2 linked regions of the Daphnia pulex genome follow. The protein of the gene in region 1 purifies or fractionates together with the protein of each later gene. This does not show direct contact. Links are inferred from orthologs where the notes say so. Each region holds a gene or a part of one and is shown on either strand. Other genes may lie near its edges. The genes, in order: protein phosphatase 1 regulatory subunit 12A-like and serine/threonine-protein phosphatase PP1-beta catalytic subunit.

Evidence for each region.
Region 2: the proteins of protein phosphatase 1 regulatory subunit 12A-like (region 1) and serine/threonine-protein phosphatase PP1-beta catalytic subunit purify together in Drosophila melanogaster (affinity purification with mass spectrometry; 3 studies listed by BioGRID, with this or other methods). This does not show direct contact. The link is inferred for Daphnia pulex from reciprocal best matches to the Drosophila melanogaster genes Mbs and flw.

What each region holds. Positions count from the first base shown.
Region 1 is NC_060023.1:10,244,862-10,253,239, reverse strand, and holds the start of protein phosphatase 1 regulatory subunit 12A-like, read left to right. Parts: upstream 1-2,646; 5' UTR 2,647-3,069; coding exon 3,070-3,312; intron 3,313-3,388; coding exon 3,389-3,519; intron 3,520-3,587; coding exon 3,588-3,706; intron 3,707-3,775; coding exon 3,776-4,089; intron 4,090-4,166; coding exon 4,167-4,312; intron 4,313-4,404; coding exon 4,405-4,654; intron 4,655-4,724; coding exon 4,725-4,884; intron 4,885-4,947; coding exon 4,948-5,206; intron 5,207-5,396; coding exon 5,397-5,633; intron 5,634-5,826; coding exon 5,827-5,925; intron 5,926-6,161; coding exon 6,162-6,254; intron 6,255-6,725; coding exon 6,726-6,879; intron 6,880-7,006; coding exon 7,007-7,120; intron 7,121-7,298; coding exon 7,299-7,428; intron 7,429-7,561; coding exon 7,562-7,671; intron 7,672-8,354; coding exon 8,355-8,378. Other genes in the region: inner centromere protein-like, read left to right, coding at 2-125, 204-327, 394-578.
Region 2 is NC_060021.1:5,447,543-5,455,920, forward strand, and holds serine/threonine-protein phosphatase PP1-beta catalytic subunit, read right to left. Parts: upstream 7,275-8,378; 5' UTR 7,257-7,274; coding exon 7,136-7,256; intron 7,073-7,135; exon of another isoform or gene 6,886-7,072; coding exon of another isoform or gene 6,870-6,885; intron 6,718-6,869; coding exon 6,586-6,717; intron 6,493-6,585; coding exon 6,262-6,492; intron 6,200-6,261; coding exon 6,023-6,199; intron 5,951-6,022; coding exon 5,664-5,950; intron 5,603-5,663; coding exon 5,501-5,602; 3' UTR 5,211-5,500; downstream 1-5,210. Other genes in the region: probable ATP-dependent RNA helicase DDX10, read left to right, coding at 2,138-2,904, 2,974-3,175, 3,238-4,182, 4,253-4,662, 4,723-4,827, 4,885-5,065. UniProt on the Drosophila melanogaster protein: Required for cell adhesion in non-muscle tissues and in maintenance of muscle attachment. Vital for larval development.

The sequences.
Region 1 (8,378 bases):
GGCAAGCTGAGGTTGAAAAAGCCAAAGCTGCCGCCGCCGTTGCTGTGCCAGTCCCAGGACCTTTCACGTTGAACACTACCGTCACGCTGCCTTCGTCTCTCACTGCAAACTACCAGATCACGCCAGTATGCAAATGACCATATTCTTGAATTTTTTGGGATTGCGTTTAAATGCATCGAATTTTCGCTTTTTTTTTTTTTTAGGTGCGCGTGACCAAGAAGGGGAGACTTTTCAATCCCGACAACTATGATATCGGTGATATGCGCTCAGATGACTCTACCGACGATGATTCCAGGCCCAAAAAATCTATTCCTTCTTGGGCTAGAAGTAAGTTACAAAGTTGCTTAACTTTGTTGTTCATCACTAACAACAAATTATTATTCAATTATTTAGGTTTCAATATTAAAGTGGCGTTAGCGCAGCAAACGGAAGCAAATATTGATACCGCCCAAATTTTCCCCGGAGACATACTCCTTCAAGATCCTGACCTGAACGATATATTTAAGATTAAACGTGCCCGTTTTAACAAGCGCACGTCCAGCGCCATCTGGAAAACCCCTCCCGCGAATCACATGTAATATGCACACTTCCATTTCACATTGGAACTTTTCTTTTGTGTTTTTAAACAGAAATTTATGCTACTACCTTTTGCCTTGCTTCTATCATTCATTATAATACAAAAAAAGTACACGGTTATTCTTGTTTCCTTCTGAAATGTGGATTTCTGTCAAATGGTTTATACAACTTGTCATGTTTTCATGGAAAAAAGCACAAGGAAATAATCACAGATTACCTGCAGTGACACATGGAGAAGGACATGGTTGAGAATTAAAGGTAATCTTTGAGCAGAGATAAGAAACTACTTCACAAATTCGTAGGTGGTGCATGAATAATACATCATTCCTTTTTCTGGTTTTTTTATGATAGGTGCATTTCTAGCAGTACTGCACTTTGATGGGGATGGAACAAGCAGGCCACAGACTTCATCTCGCATTTGCCTCTCCCTCAAAACATCTTGTTCCGACTGTCTTCTGTAAGCCTGCAAAAAAAATTGATTTGCAGCATTTTATGATTAAGTGTTGACACAGGTAGAAAGGCTCAAAATAGGTTTACCGATGCATAAGGGTTGATGGATTCTCCATTGGCAATCTTTGGCCTGCAGCATGAATCATAGCAGGAAATCAGTATACCCATAGTGACGCTTGTCCCATTCGACGAACCTTGAACGTTCACACACAAGAAAACAAACGTCACTCTATAGCCGGAAAACAACTCAAAGTATATGTAAATGTTTACTTTTCAGGATGGGCCAATGTTGGTCATTTTTATGTGAAACTGGGAACAACACACGAAAACACGATTCGGCGCCACGATTATAGGGTAAGAATAAATAATTAAGATGTCTTTCTATCTAAACATTTGACTATTTGAGTGATGGAGGAGCGGTCTGCTTTTGTTTCCCGCTGTCAGAGCAAGACGGGTAAAGAGCAATAACAAGACGCAACAGGAGGATGGGAATATCCAATAAGAATTTGGCAACGCTCGAATATCAATTTTTCTTATCTTGGGTTCTTCCTCTTGTCTTTGAATTATGCATTAGGAAATTTAAAACGAACTTGTCGATCCAAAAGAATTCCATTACCGCTTCGTCTACAAAATCAATGTTATTCAAATAATTTATGGCAATCGAACAATCGGGTAGCCGTCGATTGCTAAACCATCAAAAGTAGAAACCTGGAAAAGGTTTTTTCATTATTTATACTGACATCAACTGCCATCTAATAGCGCAGATAGCATTTTAGGAGTTTAAAACCATTTCTACATCTTTCATCTCCGATTCCCTTATGGGAAAAAAAAATCATTCAGTTATCGATCAAAAACTTGTTTTCTTTTCCCTTTTCTCCCTCTACTTGGCCGCGTGATGGATCGGAATCCACATTTGGGAAATGCGGATAGGAGGCAACAAAAAAGGGGAAAGGGAGAAGGAAGAGAGAAACTTTGAAGATGAGTTTTATTTGGAAATGGATTGGCTCACCGGCTGTTGTCCTGCATCGTATTTTTATTTTCTATTTTTTTTTGTGGGATGGAAAGTGAAGTCATGACTGTTCGTGATGCCCAAGAACGGGCCGTTGGGTCAAGTGTGCGTGAGTGCCGGTGCACATACGGTCGGTTCCCGGGATCCGAATGTAAATGGAAAATGGTGAAGAAAAAAAAGCGTCTTGTCTTGCTCTGCACGTAGCGACTTGGCAACGCTGGTGAAAGCACCAAATGTTAAGTAAAGGTGGCGAGATTATCGAAAAAATTTCCTGAATCGATAGAACTGCCGCATGGGAGGCGCTAGTTGTCCATAGTTGGGCCCTTTTATAAACATTTCGATGGAGTGAATTAAAAAATTGTATGTGTCATTCATAAATGTTTTTGTTTTATGGGAACAATTCGTCGAATTTCGGGATCCGACGAAAAGATCTCATTGTGCTAGATAAAATATTCGTAACATCTTAACATATAACACGAGAGCTCTTTAGTCTTCACCCTCTTGTGAATAGTCAGCGCCACCTGGGAGAATTTCCAGAATAGCATGATGGTAAAATCTGTGGCGAGTGTACCGTTGATTCTTAGTTCCATGGGGGAAAAGTCTAAAAATAAAAACAAAAAAAAAAAAACTGAAAAAAAGAGGCCAAGATGGCGACGTCTGCTTGAGGCAGAATCGAGTCTCTTCCCCATCTCCATCCATTCATGTGTGTCTGTGTGTTGTAACTAGACGAAACTCGTGCCAATTTGGTGGGGGCGAAATATCCAGACTGCGGTCTTCTATCAATAGAAGAAGCCGCGTAAAGGATAGTCAGATATCGCCGGCCGGGAAAGGATTTAGATACAGTGTGTGCCTTCCCCGACGTGTTTATACAATAGCAATTGGCACCTCCCGTCTTCCACTCCCTTGTGTTGTCCTGTGCCTTCTTTCGCTCTCCTCCGATCTCTGAGGAGAGTCACATTCCCTTCAAGGGATCGGAAAGTGCCCGGGTTGCATTCTACAGTGGCTTACGGTTGCGTTGAAACGCCGCCAAAAACATGGAGTCAAGAACAAATTCAGCCCTGTTTAAGAGGGCTGAACAACTGAGAAGGTGGGAGGAATCAGAGACAAACAAGGAACCTGCCTCAGCTCGTGTGGTTTCAAGGAGAATCCAATTCTCAGATGGATGTGTATTTCTCTCCGCTTGTGCTGCCGGTGACAAAGAAGAAGTACTCAAACTCATACGGCAAGGAGCTGACATAGACACCCCCAATGTTGATGGTTTAACTGCGCTGCATCAGGTCAGTTTTGTTTTGGCCCTGTCAACAAACCATTTACGCCAGTCGTCTGACTTTGAGGGTTGTTTTCTTCATACAGGCCTGCATCGATGACAATTTGGATATGGTGGAGTTTTTGGTGGAGCATGGAGCTGACATCAATCGTGGAGATCATGAAGGCTGGACTCCTCTGCACGCCACAGCCTCTTGTGGATTTTTATCAATTGCCAGGTACTTAACATGACTAGTTTTGATGCTCGCACAATGCTAAACAACAGCTGTTTGGAATTATGAATTAGGTACCTGATTGAGAACAAGTCAGATGTTGCTGCTGTAAACAATGACGGTGAACTCCCTATTGATATTGCTGAAACAGAAGCCATGGAAGAGTTGCTTGAACGAGAAACACAGTTGCGAGGTAATAACAAAAACAATAACACTTGAGCTCACTTTTCACACGACACTACTATGGATTTATGATCAACAGGCATTGACTGCGATGCTGCTAGGAGCCAAGAGGAACGACAAATGCTTGCTGACACTAGTCGGTGGCTGGAAGGAGACCCGGCATCAGCTCGACTGCTCCAGCCGCACCCTAGAACCGGCGCTACTCCGCTCCATGTCGCTTCAGCCAAAGGTTACATCCGCGTGATGAGCATGCTCGTTCAGGGCGGAGGCGAGCTGAACATTCAAGACATTGACGGCTGGACACCATTACATGCGGCTGCCCATTGGGGACAGCGTGAAGCATGTCAACTCTTGTGCGAAAACATGGCGGACATGGAGGTCCGCAATTACGTGGTACGATCCAGCACGCCAACAGTGTGGCATCTAAAACCCGAATTCTCTTCATTTATTGTGTATGTCCATTCGTTTAGGGTCAGACTTGCTTTGATGTGGCCGATCCTGACATCATCCGGTTACTGGAAGAATGCAAGAAGCGTCAGGCCATCATTTTACGAGAGCGGCCAGAAGTGTACAATAATCGAGGCAACGCAAGGAACCAGTCACCACCCAAGAGACGGTGAGATTTTTTAACGACATTCTTGCAATTGTCTCTCGCCCTGGACTGTTTGTTTATATTTCCTGCGTTTGTTTGCTTGGGACTATTGTTAGATCGTCGGTCACCCGTACCCCGCAAACGGAGAAAGCTGCCATCCAGGCTTCGTCCAAAATCACGGATAAGGTTCCCGGTGCCGTCATCATGGTCGACGAGGAAAAAGAGAACAGCAGTGGCGAACTATCCTCGCCCGTGGCCCCTCTTGCCGTCCAGGAGTCCTTTGATGAACGAGCCAAACCTGCCACAACCCCTGCCACAACCACCACATCCGTCCCGACTTCAACGAAAGATAATTCTCCTAGAGTGGTAATCGTTTCCTTGTCTAATTTCAGCTCGGATTCTGATATTAATTTTCTGGTTTTTATTTTAAAAAAAGACTTCGTCAAGCGGACCCCCTTCACGTCCACCACCTCCACCGGCCACTGATGTGGACAACCTGCCTTCGTCTCCATCACAGCAATCGGGTCAAATGATTGAAACCGAGGAGGATGTTCCTTCTTGGAGAAGACCTGGTTCTTTCCGGTCGAGGCAAGCTGGTAGGCAAACGCTCATGCAACTTGGAAATGTTTCGTGTTTTAATTTCTAATATTTTCCATCAGCCAATGCTGCCAACGGCAGTGGAACATTGAACCACACTCCGGTCAAATCGGAGCGAGAAGGATTGAACCGGTCCATCTCTCAGCCTTTAACCCCTGTAGCGGCCGTCACGTCTTCTTCCTCCGCCACCCCTCAATCTTCTTCTACCACTTCGTCCAACCTCGCCTCAACCGCCTCATCCATCTCCTCGTCCACCTCCGCCTTGTCTACCGATACGGAAGTCACACTACGGAGAGCCCATAGTTTCGAGTCCGACGAACGGTAAGGATTGTGGGTGTTTGTCTGTGCAAACAATGACTTTATTTTAACCCTTGCACCGATAATATTCCAGCACTTAACTCATTAAAACAAACGAAACCATTTGATTAACAAAAACGGGTTTTTCCATCACACATTGAACGCGCATGGTCGTGTATGTGTTTGTGTGTATGTGTCCGTGCTCGCGCCGTAGATTTTATTCGCGGCTGCTGGAACTGCGGCGACGGATCAAGGCCAATTCCTTGCCATTGCTGGCAGCCTCGTCGCTCACTCCGATCGTGAGCGGCGGCAGCAACAGCGTTGGGGAGGATGTCAATGGTGGAGGCCCCACTAGTACTAACACTATTCATTCAACCAATAACCGAAGCCGAGTCGAACAAACCCTACAACCTGACGACGACCTTGAACCAGTCGTTCTACGGGTGAAAAGGTATCACGCTGGACGGCCCAGCACCCTTGCCAAACACTCCTTTTTTTCTAACTCTTTTCACTCTCTTGATCCGCACGGTAGTTTGAGATAGAATGATGTTTGTTTATTTCTTTTCTTCTCTTCTTCAGTTCGTTATTTCGATTGAGTATACTAATTTTTTGAAATTTGTTGTCGTTTTCGTGCCATTTTGTAGTCGGTTGGGAACAGAATGCCCCGTCGAGCAGACGACAACGGCCACTTTGGTCCTATCGCAGCCCAACGTGCCGAGTTCGGCCAATCAGCCCATACGCAGGTACAATGGCAATTTGGAAAATTATTATTATCCTTTAGTTCAAACGATTACATCAAGTCCATTCCAACGTTCACCTCAAAATAAGGAGTCAATTATTGTGCCCTGCCCAATTTCATTTCTTCCTTATTTTATTTTTTTATTATTTATTTATTTTGTTTTCTTTCTTTTCTTTTGGGATCTTGTTATGGTCTTCTTATTTGTAATTTCTCTCGATGATTTCTCTCAAATACTGTTAGCCCGTCGGCCAACACGGTTGTGACCACTACAGCGACCTCATCGCTCACCAACGTCAAACTAAGTCCCGGAACAATTATCAAGAATTTCTTCAAGTTTGTGTTCTTGGATCTCTTTTTTTCTTCTTCTTCTCTTCTTCTTTGTTCTTTGACTTGTGCCCCCAAAACGATTGAAGATGATTGTTTTGTTTAACACAATTCAACCGACATACTGCATAGCCTTAAATAATGTTTTGGCTGGAACCGAAAAGCTCCTTTTAGCTCTTTAGATATGTCGTTGGATCCTGACGACAATAATCCTCTGTCTGCCTGCGAACAAAAACACAACGTTGAATTAAGTCCTTAATCCCCCCTTGTTGTCCTCTTTAACGGAATGGACACAGCGACTGAACATTTTCGTGTATTAATCCGCGCGTGTGTTGTGTTTGTGCTGTGATGGAAACGCGAAGGGCTCGGCTTGATTGGCCCTTTTTGTGTTGTGTCGATTTTTGGATGTTTGTTTTTTGGGTGGGGAAAATGCTCATGTCTGACAGCTTTGATTAAGAAATTGTTTTCTGTGATGATTAGGTCATTTGTTCCTCCAGTACGCGACGAAGAGTCAGAGACGCAGCGAAAGGCACACGCCAAGCGGGTCCGTGAAACCAGGCGTTCCACGCAGGGCGTCACGCTGGAAGAGGTCAAAACGGCCGAACAGCTAGCCAAGAAGAAACAGGCCGAAACCGTAAGTTGTCCCTCATCCTCTTTCTTAACACCAAACATTGCAGGAGTTGAATCCCAGGAGTGTGTGAACTGAAATGAATCAAAGTCTGGGGGGAAACTAATCAGACTTTGCTTTGTTTGTGGGGCAGACATCAATACCTGCGTCGGTCACCCCCGATGCTACCGAATCTACCGATTCGAAATCCGAACTGGAACGGCGGCCATCCTGGAGATTGTGCATCAACGATAACAATAAGAACAAGGTTGGCTACATTATAAGGCGTGAGCTAGGGGAGGTCGGGAATTGTCTTCTGTTGATTTTGGCCGTCGATTATCCCCTTTTACAATCCAATCTCCACCGCATGGACACTTTTTTGTTTTTTACCCCAGTCGAATTTTGTTGTGTCACAAAGTTTTAATCCTTGAACAATTGTCGTCTAGTTCTCATTGGAAGATTCACGGAGTAAGAACAACGGAGGAGGCGGTGTGAATGCCTCATCGACCATCACATCAATAACGGCCGACACTGTCATCACGATCCCGCTGCGTCGCTCCAAAGCCCAGGAAGAAGGTAACAACAACAACAACAAAAAGAATGAAGCAATTCATCTTTTTTCCTGTTTTTTTTTTTTTTTTTACTTTGTCTGTCCTGTTTGCCTGACACATTTCCCGTTTCTATTTCTTGTGTCAACAAACACACACAGAAATGAAGGAGACGACAAAGGAGAATGCGGCAGCTGCTACCCCAGCAACGATCCAGCGGAGGCGCCGGCCCAAACGGCGATCGACGGGTGTCGTTCAGATCGACATGGAGGTATATTCGCAACCACACACATTTCATTCTTCTCTACTACTACTACCACTACTACTACTACCACCAACGGCATTCACACCGGCTCCTCACCTTTTTACCTTGTCGTTGTTCTTCTCCGTCAATCTTCTAATCAACAACTTCTACGTCAAAACACATTCTTTTTGGGTTTTTTTCTACCCCCTTTGGTTTCCTTGTTGTTTTCTTCTCTTTTTGGGTGTGGAATTTGTTTCTTCTCTTTCTATACTTTCGTGTGCTTTGTATCTCGATATGGAGAAGAGCTAGTTCTTATAGTTCGCTCCAGTTTGTTGCGTGTGTATGTCTCTGTGCGCTTGGGCCAAAAGGCGCGTCCCAACTAACAACGGGCGGATTCCAATTTTGTCTTGTTCTCTCCTACTATTACCCCGACTTTCCTTCCTACTTTGAAACAACACACTGTGGGTTCTTCTGTTGGTTTCTCATTTCATCGTCTTTTTTTCCTAATCTGATATCGAATCTCGGAATTCAATTTTTTGGTTTCTTTTTTCTTCATTTCAATTGACCTTGCCATTTTTCGTTGTGTTTATTATTTATTACTTTTTTTTTCACATTTTCCATCCACATTACGACACGCCCTGATTGTTTTTTTTTTGTTTTCTCATTCTGGTTTTTTGTTGTTGTTGTTGTTTTCAACCTGGACGCAATAGGATTTCGACCCTTCCGGCAAAGAC
Region 2 (8,378 bases), on another chromosome or scaffold:
CGCAATTTCCCATAAGATTTTCTCGCTCGCGCTTGCGCGTTCCCAAACTTCGGGTAGGTAGTAACCTGAACACCTTGGTCTTTTTTTTTATATAAAAAAAAATATTTCGGCATTTTTTTCTTAATTCTTATAAATGAACTTTGTAAAACAATTAATTCTACATATAATGGGAAGTCTTCAAAGTTAAAAACAAAAAATATACATTGAACTGGGCTTTAGAAAAAGAGCTGTGTTCGGATTTTTTTGTAGGATACCGTACTGTAAATAATTAGAAAAGAGCGACCTGCCTCCAGGCCTTTTAGCCCCATTCTTCCCTACTTCTGCTCCCCCAAAAAAACCCGCCGCCACAGTTCACAGGGGCCTTAAGGGACTACGTTTTTCTTTATTTTATTATTGCATGAAAGACATTTGTGTTTATTTGAAATAAATATGTGTTAATCTTTAAGACCTGCTCTATTTTTTAATATTTTTTTGTCGTCGATCGCGTTAGTGTAAGCTTTGGAAAAAAATCAAAAAGAATTGGAGGGAAAGCGCACCTCTATTTCTAGTAGAAGTGCAGCCATTGCAAGAAACTCGCGCTATTTCACTCGCTATCACAAATGCAGCGACGCAAATGTTCATCAAAGTCATAACTCATAAGTCATCAAATGGATCATCCGCCACAGCAAGTCGTTCCGCAAATCAATAACACAATGCTTAACCACAATTTTGGCTTCTGGTTCTAGAGAAGATATAAGGGTTTTAACAAAAAATGGAGCAGACCTTGTCTGTGCTCTATCAAGCAAGATGAATGTTGTTCATAATCTAGAAGATGGACTAAGTTCACGGTGCACTCACAATCTCGAAAATCTTGCTACATCATTAAAAGTAAGCATCGTTCCTGAAGATATGGCGCTCTTCTTCCTCGAGTTTGTCTTTGATGAAAATGATATTTCGCTACTCCACCGCGTGGATCTTTTTCTATATCGGTTCTTTATCATTCTGCTCGAACCGAAGCCCTTCGTTTATCAATCACCAAGAAAATGCACAAAGTGGCGCAAATTTCGACTGAAAAAATTTACCATCTCTTCAACGAGCCATCTTAACGTGCGCAACGGTTTTGGTACAGTTTTGGAAGGAAACTGTCATGGCAGACTGTTTTCACATCCCTCTTCAAGATATTGTTGCTGTCTGCCTACACATCACATGTAACGTGCTGGACTTCATCGACTAAAATTGACACAACTGCGGGCACGTGTTGGCACCAAATTTCCAATCAATTCATAACGATTTGCTCATCCAGTTGCATTCCCAGCACGTCGCGTCCCATCTACGTCGAGTTCTGTCGTCAAGAGCCATGGCCAAGTCAAAAGTGTGGAAAGTATAGGGGACTATCTGCGGCCTCGCTTTTTGGGAATTCTATTTCATTTGGACAGCGTCCTTCTCTCCAAGATAATCTCAGACAAGATCAAGATTAATGCGACGATTTACCGTGTTTTCCCTCGTGTTTTCCTTATCTCTCATTTATTCCTCAGTACTATCACGCTGTGCAAGTCGCAACTTTCTTGTTGAAGGACATGAAAAACAATCACAACACGACGCAAATATACATTCAATTGGTATCTCTCTCGGAATTGCCCGAACTTTCTTCGGTTACAGGTGTATTAGATGAGTCCGAAGACCTTCCGTTCGTTCTTCAGCTCTGAATTTTATACGTACCAAAGCTAATAAAAAAGATAGTCAAAATAAAATTATATTTTATTAAATTGTGTTTTTTTTTTGTGGGATCTGGTGCTTTTTAATAAAGTGATGCATCCTCTTATTGAACAAAAAAAGATTAAAAATATACGCGTGACGAAATTAATTATTTTTTAGTTATTCTCATTGCCTTGTAAAATAGTGTAATAAACTATTTTTTTTTTAATTCAATTTTGATGAAATCGAAACCTTTTCAAACTTTCCGCCAACTTTCTTATATGCTTCATTTATCGCCAGATGGCACTTACCAGATTTTTGTCGTCTGCTTGTCTCGTGGTGCCCAAAAATTTCGACACAGGGCAAGACGGCAAGTTACTTAGTTATTGAATTGAATGGTTCAAGTTACCTAGTTTCTTTCAAAAATATTTCAAATAAAAGAAAAACAAATTACAACAAGAAAATGGAGAGTGGTAGTACAAATGGTAATGCAAAAACCCCGGATGACAACAAACAAAATGGACCTGGGTCACAAAAGACAAAGAAGAAAAACAACTCCAAAGGAAAATTACACCCAAGTCGAGTTAAAGCAAGTGCCATTGAGCAACACGAAATCAAGAATTTGCAAATTCGCTATACATCAGTGGAAACATCAGCTGTACTAAAATTTAAAGATATTCCGCTTTCCAAGAAAACCTTGCAAGGTCTGCAGCAGAACGAGTACACCACGCCAACCGAAGTCCAAAAAGAGAGTATTGTTCTTGCCCTAAGAGGTCTAGATGTATTGGGAGCTGCCAAAACCGGTAGTGGAAAAACCCTTGCCTTTGTGATACCTGTTCTTGAAAGACTGTACTGCATGCAATGGACTCGACTAGATGGTCTTGGTGCCCTAATTATAACCCCAACTCGAGAATTGGCATACCAGATATTTGAGACTTTCAGGAAGGTTGGAATCCAGCATGATTTTTCTGCTGGTCTCATCATTGGAGGCAAAGACCTTAATTTTGAAAGGAAACGATTAGACCAATGTAACATCATGATTTGCACCCCTGGAAGAGTCCTTCATCACATGGATGAAAATCCTCTCTTTGACTGCTCCAACCTACAGATATTGGTTATTGACGAGGCTGATCGTTGTTTGGATCTGGGATTCCAGCAAACGATGAACGGTATCATTGAAAATTTACCCCCAAAGAGGCAAACTCTGCTGTTTTCCGCCACACAAACCAAGTATTTAATATGATAACATTCATCGTTTAGAATTTACGCTCACCTTTTTATATCTTATGTAAATTACAGATCAGTCAAAGATCTCGCTCGTCTCAGTTTAAAGGACCCCGTTTACGTTTCTGTTCACGAAAACGCTCAATACTCCACACCCGAGTCTTTGCGTCAAAGCTACATCATTACTCCCATTCAAAACAAAGTCGACATTTTATGGTCTTTTCTTAGGAGTCATAGGAAGAAGAAACTGATTGTCTTTTTGACTTCTTGCAAACAGGTAATTTGTTGAAAAATTTGCCGTTGATTATCAAACTAACTTGAACATTGCCTTTTAATTAGGTTCGATTTATTCATCAAGCTTTTACTCGTCTGCGACCTGGTCTTTCTGTATTGGCTTTGTATGGTACCATGCACCAGATGAAACGCATGTCAGTCTACGAAGAGTTTTGCGAGAAGCAAACTGCCGTCCTGTTCGCCACAGACATTGCCGCTCGAGGACTCGATTTTCCTAATGTTGATTGGGTAATTCAAATGGATTGTCCGGACGACCCAAGTAGCTACATCCACCGAGCCGGTCGTACTGCTCGTTATCAGAAAGGAGGGGAATCGTTGCTGATGCTGCTGCCCTCAGAAGAAGCCATGGTTGAGCAGTTGGCCCAGAAAAAGATCCCCATTCAGAAAATTGAAGTCAATCCTTCGAAATTGGTTTCCATTCAGCGGAAACTCGAAGCCATGCTCGCTCGTGATGTTGAATTGAAACAAATGGCCCAACGGGCTTTTGTTACTTATGCCAAATCAGTTTTCCTTATGAAAGACAAGTCGATTTTTGATGTCACTAGTATCGATTTGAATGCTTTAGCTCGGTCTTTGGGGCTCGCTCTTGCTCCACGCGTCCGTTTCCTACAAAAACATCTCAAGGCAACAGAATCGGCTGCGCCTCCACAAGCTCCTCGAATGTTGAAACCAAACTATGACACCCCAGCCGAGAAGCCTATTGCCGCTCAATCGACTGAGCAGCAATGGAGAAGAAACGACCTGGAAGCAGCTTACGATTTCCACGCAGAAGACGAATTACAGGATTCCGATAGCGATGACGGCATTTTCAAAATCAAGCGGCAAAATCACGCTCTCCCCGGATTCGAAGAAGCCGAGGAGGAGGAGGTTGAAATTGGTGTTGAGAAAAAGAAGAAGGAAAAGATCTTGACCAAGGAGAAAGTTGCCAAACGAATCCTTGCTAAAAAGCTGAAGGCCAATAAAATTGTCAACTTTGACGACGAAGGAAATGTAATACCCATTTTTTACAGAATGATCCCATTTCGTGTTGTTGTATAATTTATTGTTGTTTATTTTGCAGAGAATTTATGACGCATCTCGCGAGAAAGTTTCCGAGCTTGGCCGAGCTCTCGAAATTGAAGCTTCGACATCGATTACTGGTGGCATCAATTTGGTTGAAGCCAAAAAGGCGATGGAAGAAGAGGATAAATACGACAAAGAAATCTTCCGTCAGCGTATTAAAGCCAAACATCGCGAAGATCGACTCAAAGCCAAAGCAGAGCGTAGACTTGCCAACCGGGTAGAGAAGGAAGAAGAAGTAACGAATGTCGAAGGTGAGGAGGAGGACGAAGAGTCTGAAGGTGACGAGAGTGTCGATGGTTCAGTCGGAGAAATTATAGACGCTTTACCCGATCCCGATCGCATCTACGGCGCCAAGGAAGATGATAGCGAAGAAGAAGGTGAGGTTTACAGAGGGCCAGCTGTTGCAAAGTAAGAAATCTCCCATTTAATTTTCGTTTGTTCCAATAAAGTAATTCTGTCTTTATTTAGGAAACGCTCGCGATTGCCGAGCGAGAGTGAAGAAGATGACGACAGTGAAGATGATAGTGAAAGTGACAATGACGAAGCACCTGTCAAGCCTACCCCGATTACAAGGTACAAACATTTGGCTGAAACCAAGTTGGAATTCTATTAATTCTTTCTCATAATTAGGAAACGGCGACAACCGAGTGAAAGCGAAGAACTTCCCACACCTACAAAGACGAAACAAAAATGGATCAAGAAGAAGCCACCTAAGAAACAGAAACCAGCTAAGAACAGTAAATTTGACACTGGCCTGGATTTGGCTATGGACGAAGAGTTGGCTCTTCACATTCTTGGCTCTAAAAATTAAAGAAAGACTGCCTCGTTGTCCATATGAAATACACAGTCAGCTTAATGGATTGAGAACTTTGACATTAACGCGGCTTGTCGACTGAATCTTTTCCGACGTAATTGTAAACTGTTTCATTGCGTCATACAAGGAAAGCATGTTCAAGTTTGCTGATATCATGTTGGTTTATTTGTTTGATTTACAGAGGATATACACTAAATGAAGGGAGAAAGAGATGTGGTAAGTAACGAGGAAAAAAATGAAGACGCTGACGAAGCATGCGAAGGAGTAACGTTGTCCTCCAAATTGTGTGACGAGGGCAACAGAAATAGTAGTTGTAAGAATTTGTTAAAAAGGGGAAATTGGGCATTGATGGCTCCCACCACATTCCGGTTGAAAGGTTAAGTCGATCAAATAATTCAATAGGATTAAGCTTACAATAACTCTTACTAACTATTACTTCTTCTTGGGCACTGGTTTGTTGGCAGCTGCGTTCGGCTTCGTGGCGTTGATACCAGAATACTGGTATTTTGCTTTCTTCTCCGAGGGTTTCAAAATCTAACGAATTTGGAAAAATTTTAAATTTGAGTTACAAATATTAAACATTCAATAGAAATACCTGAAAAGAGCACATAAGTGTTTCATCAACGCTCATCATGCCGCCCGCGTTGTCAAACTCCCCGCAGTAATTTGGCGCAGAAAAGAGAGTAACCAGTTGACGTTTGGCAAAAAATTCGTAACCATCTTCTACGACCTGATGAGCTCTGCAAATCAAGTCAAGGTCATGGCGATTCAAAAATTTGCTGACAACATCAGCTCCGAAAGTGAAGGAAACGCCGCGGTCATTTTCAGACCATCCTTGCACGTCTTTATCAGGGTCGGACCACAGCAGGTCACAAAGAAGGCCTGAATGTAAAACAAATCAGCCACATATGATGTTATATATATTTCAGGTGTAAAAGCCAAGTCGAAGTTTACCAGTGTCAGGTACATCAGTCGGCCTCATAATACGTTTGATTTGGTCCATGTTTTGTAGGTCGGGACTTAAGCCGCCGTGACAACAAAATATTTTCTCGTCAATTATGGCGGCGATAGGAAGACAATTAAAACAATCGGTGAAAGTCTTCCACAGTTTAATGTTGTACCGCCGTTTGCCTAAGATAAAGCAGAATACATCACTCTAAAAAATGGCCATTTAGAAAACGATAGTTACTTACATTCATCATAAAAGCCATAAATTCTGTTGATGGATGCACATTCGTGATTTCCTCTTAATAAGAAGAAATTTTCAGGGTACTTGATTTTATAAGCAAGTAGAAGGCAAATGGTTTCCAAGGACTGTTTTCCGCGATCCACGTAATCGCCAAGAAATAAATAATTTGCTTCAGGGGGGAAACCTCCATACTCAAACAATCTTAGCAAATCTGTATACTGGCCATGAATATCACCTGAAAATACCAAACAGAAAATATAATTTACTACCTCTTTGGAAGTCCCAAGTAAAAAAAATAAGAATGAAATTTGTTAAAATTAGTGCATACCACAAATTTTCAGGGGTGCTTCTAGCTCAAGGAGTATTGGCTGTTGAAGGAAAATCTCTCTGGATTTTAAACACAAGCCCCTAACTTCAGCCTCTGTCATCTGCACAGACTTCCCAGGCCGGCATCCTCTCACTGTTACAAAACACATAAAAAAAAATGGTTAGTGATTAACAATTTGATTTACAGGTAATCACATGACAATTTCATTTTTAGGGCAAGGAACAAGGCTGTGGGTATGTGATATAAATACTCTAATCAAGTTGTATAGAACCTTAAATTATTACCATTGAATGAGACCATTTAGTTTCATTTAAATATAAATAAGAAGATGGGGAAATATTGGTTTCAAGAATTTGTTTAGCGTCACAAAATTGCCAACGTAATCATTATTTTCGAAATTGAAAATTGAAGCCCTTTGCAGTTCTACACCAAAAAAGTAGTCTAAGAAGCTATTGAACGCATAAAAGATGTATCAATGAGACCACTTAGTTCCTAGCTTTCAGACTGCTCTATTAGTTTTAATCAAAATTTTTAATTCATAATGACTTACCTTCTAACAATCGAGAAATAATACTGTCAACATTAAGGTCGTCCGCCATCATCGAAAAGTCAGACGGGATTAAAATAGTTGTGCAGCACCATCTGGATGTAAACACCTGAACTTGAGACATGGCTTTCGTCTGCTAGGGAAACTAGGGCTCGCGTTGCAAGCGTTGGCCTTCGGCTAAGTGACAGAGCTATCTTGGAAGAATTTTGGAATTAGGCAGTCTTGTTCTTGTGCTTCATTTTCTTGTCGTTATTTTTTATTTTACTCTGTAATTTTTTATTTTATTGTACTCTGTATACTCTTCTACTTTTTTAAAACACTGACCATAAAAAAAAAAAAAGAACGACGTTGCATTTATAAATTTTCATTTCGACAAAAATAAACAAATAAGGAAGAAGGACAAATTAACATTTTTAGCGGAAGTAAAATAAGCTTTTTGTCTGGGAATTCCAAACCTGGTCGGTATATACCTCATTTCTCGAAGTTTGGTGATACTTGATGAATACACTTTTCTGCCGTGTAATCAACCTCAGCTTCGGTGGTGAATCGCCCAATTCCAAATCGAATAGAAGAATGCGCCAAATCTTCTTCAGCGCCAATGGTCCGCAAAATATATGAAAGTTCCAGCAATGCTGAGGTGCAAGTACTTCCGCTTGAGAGTGCCACGTCTTACGTAATAAAAAGAATTAGTTAAAATGAAAGGTAGTGGAAGTTGCCTTTATATAAAGTTACCTTTCAGGGCCATGAAAAGACTTTCTCCCTCGACGTAGGCGAAAGAAAGGTTTACACAACCTGGGTAGGAGTGTTCAGGATCTCAATTTCGTACGACATGTGTTAAACTATTACCAATCTGATCGATCAAGCGTTGCGATAGTTTACTAATCTGGCATGATTATACTAAAACATGGTTTTGATCAATTAGTTATGTATGGATACTACTATGACATGAACTAAAACCTTAAGTTCTTGCTGAGCTACTTCACATGCTGCGCCAAAACCAACTGTCACTCTGTCAGTGGAGTAGGAACTGTTCCACCACGTATCCCTCATTCCTGACCACCTCCACTTTGCAGAGCTTCAATCCTAACCCGTGGTCGGCCTATCACGTAAAGAGCACCAACACCTTTTGTTCAAGTTCAAGAAAAGAATGATGCGAAAAAAGAGTGAATTACATCGAAATAACAATCATATATTAAATTGTAAAATACCTTTATAAATCAATTGACATCGATTCAACATCAATTGG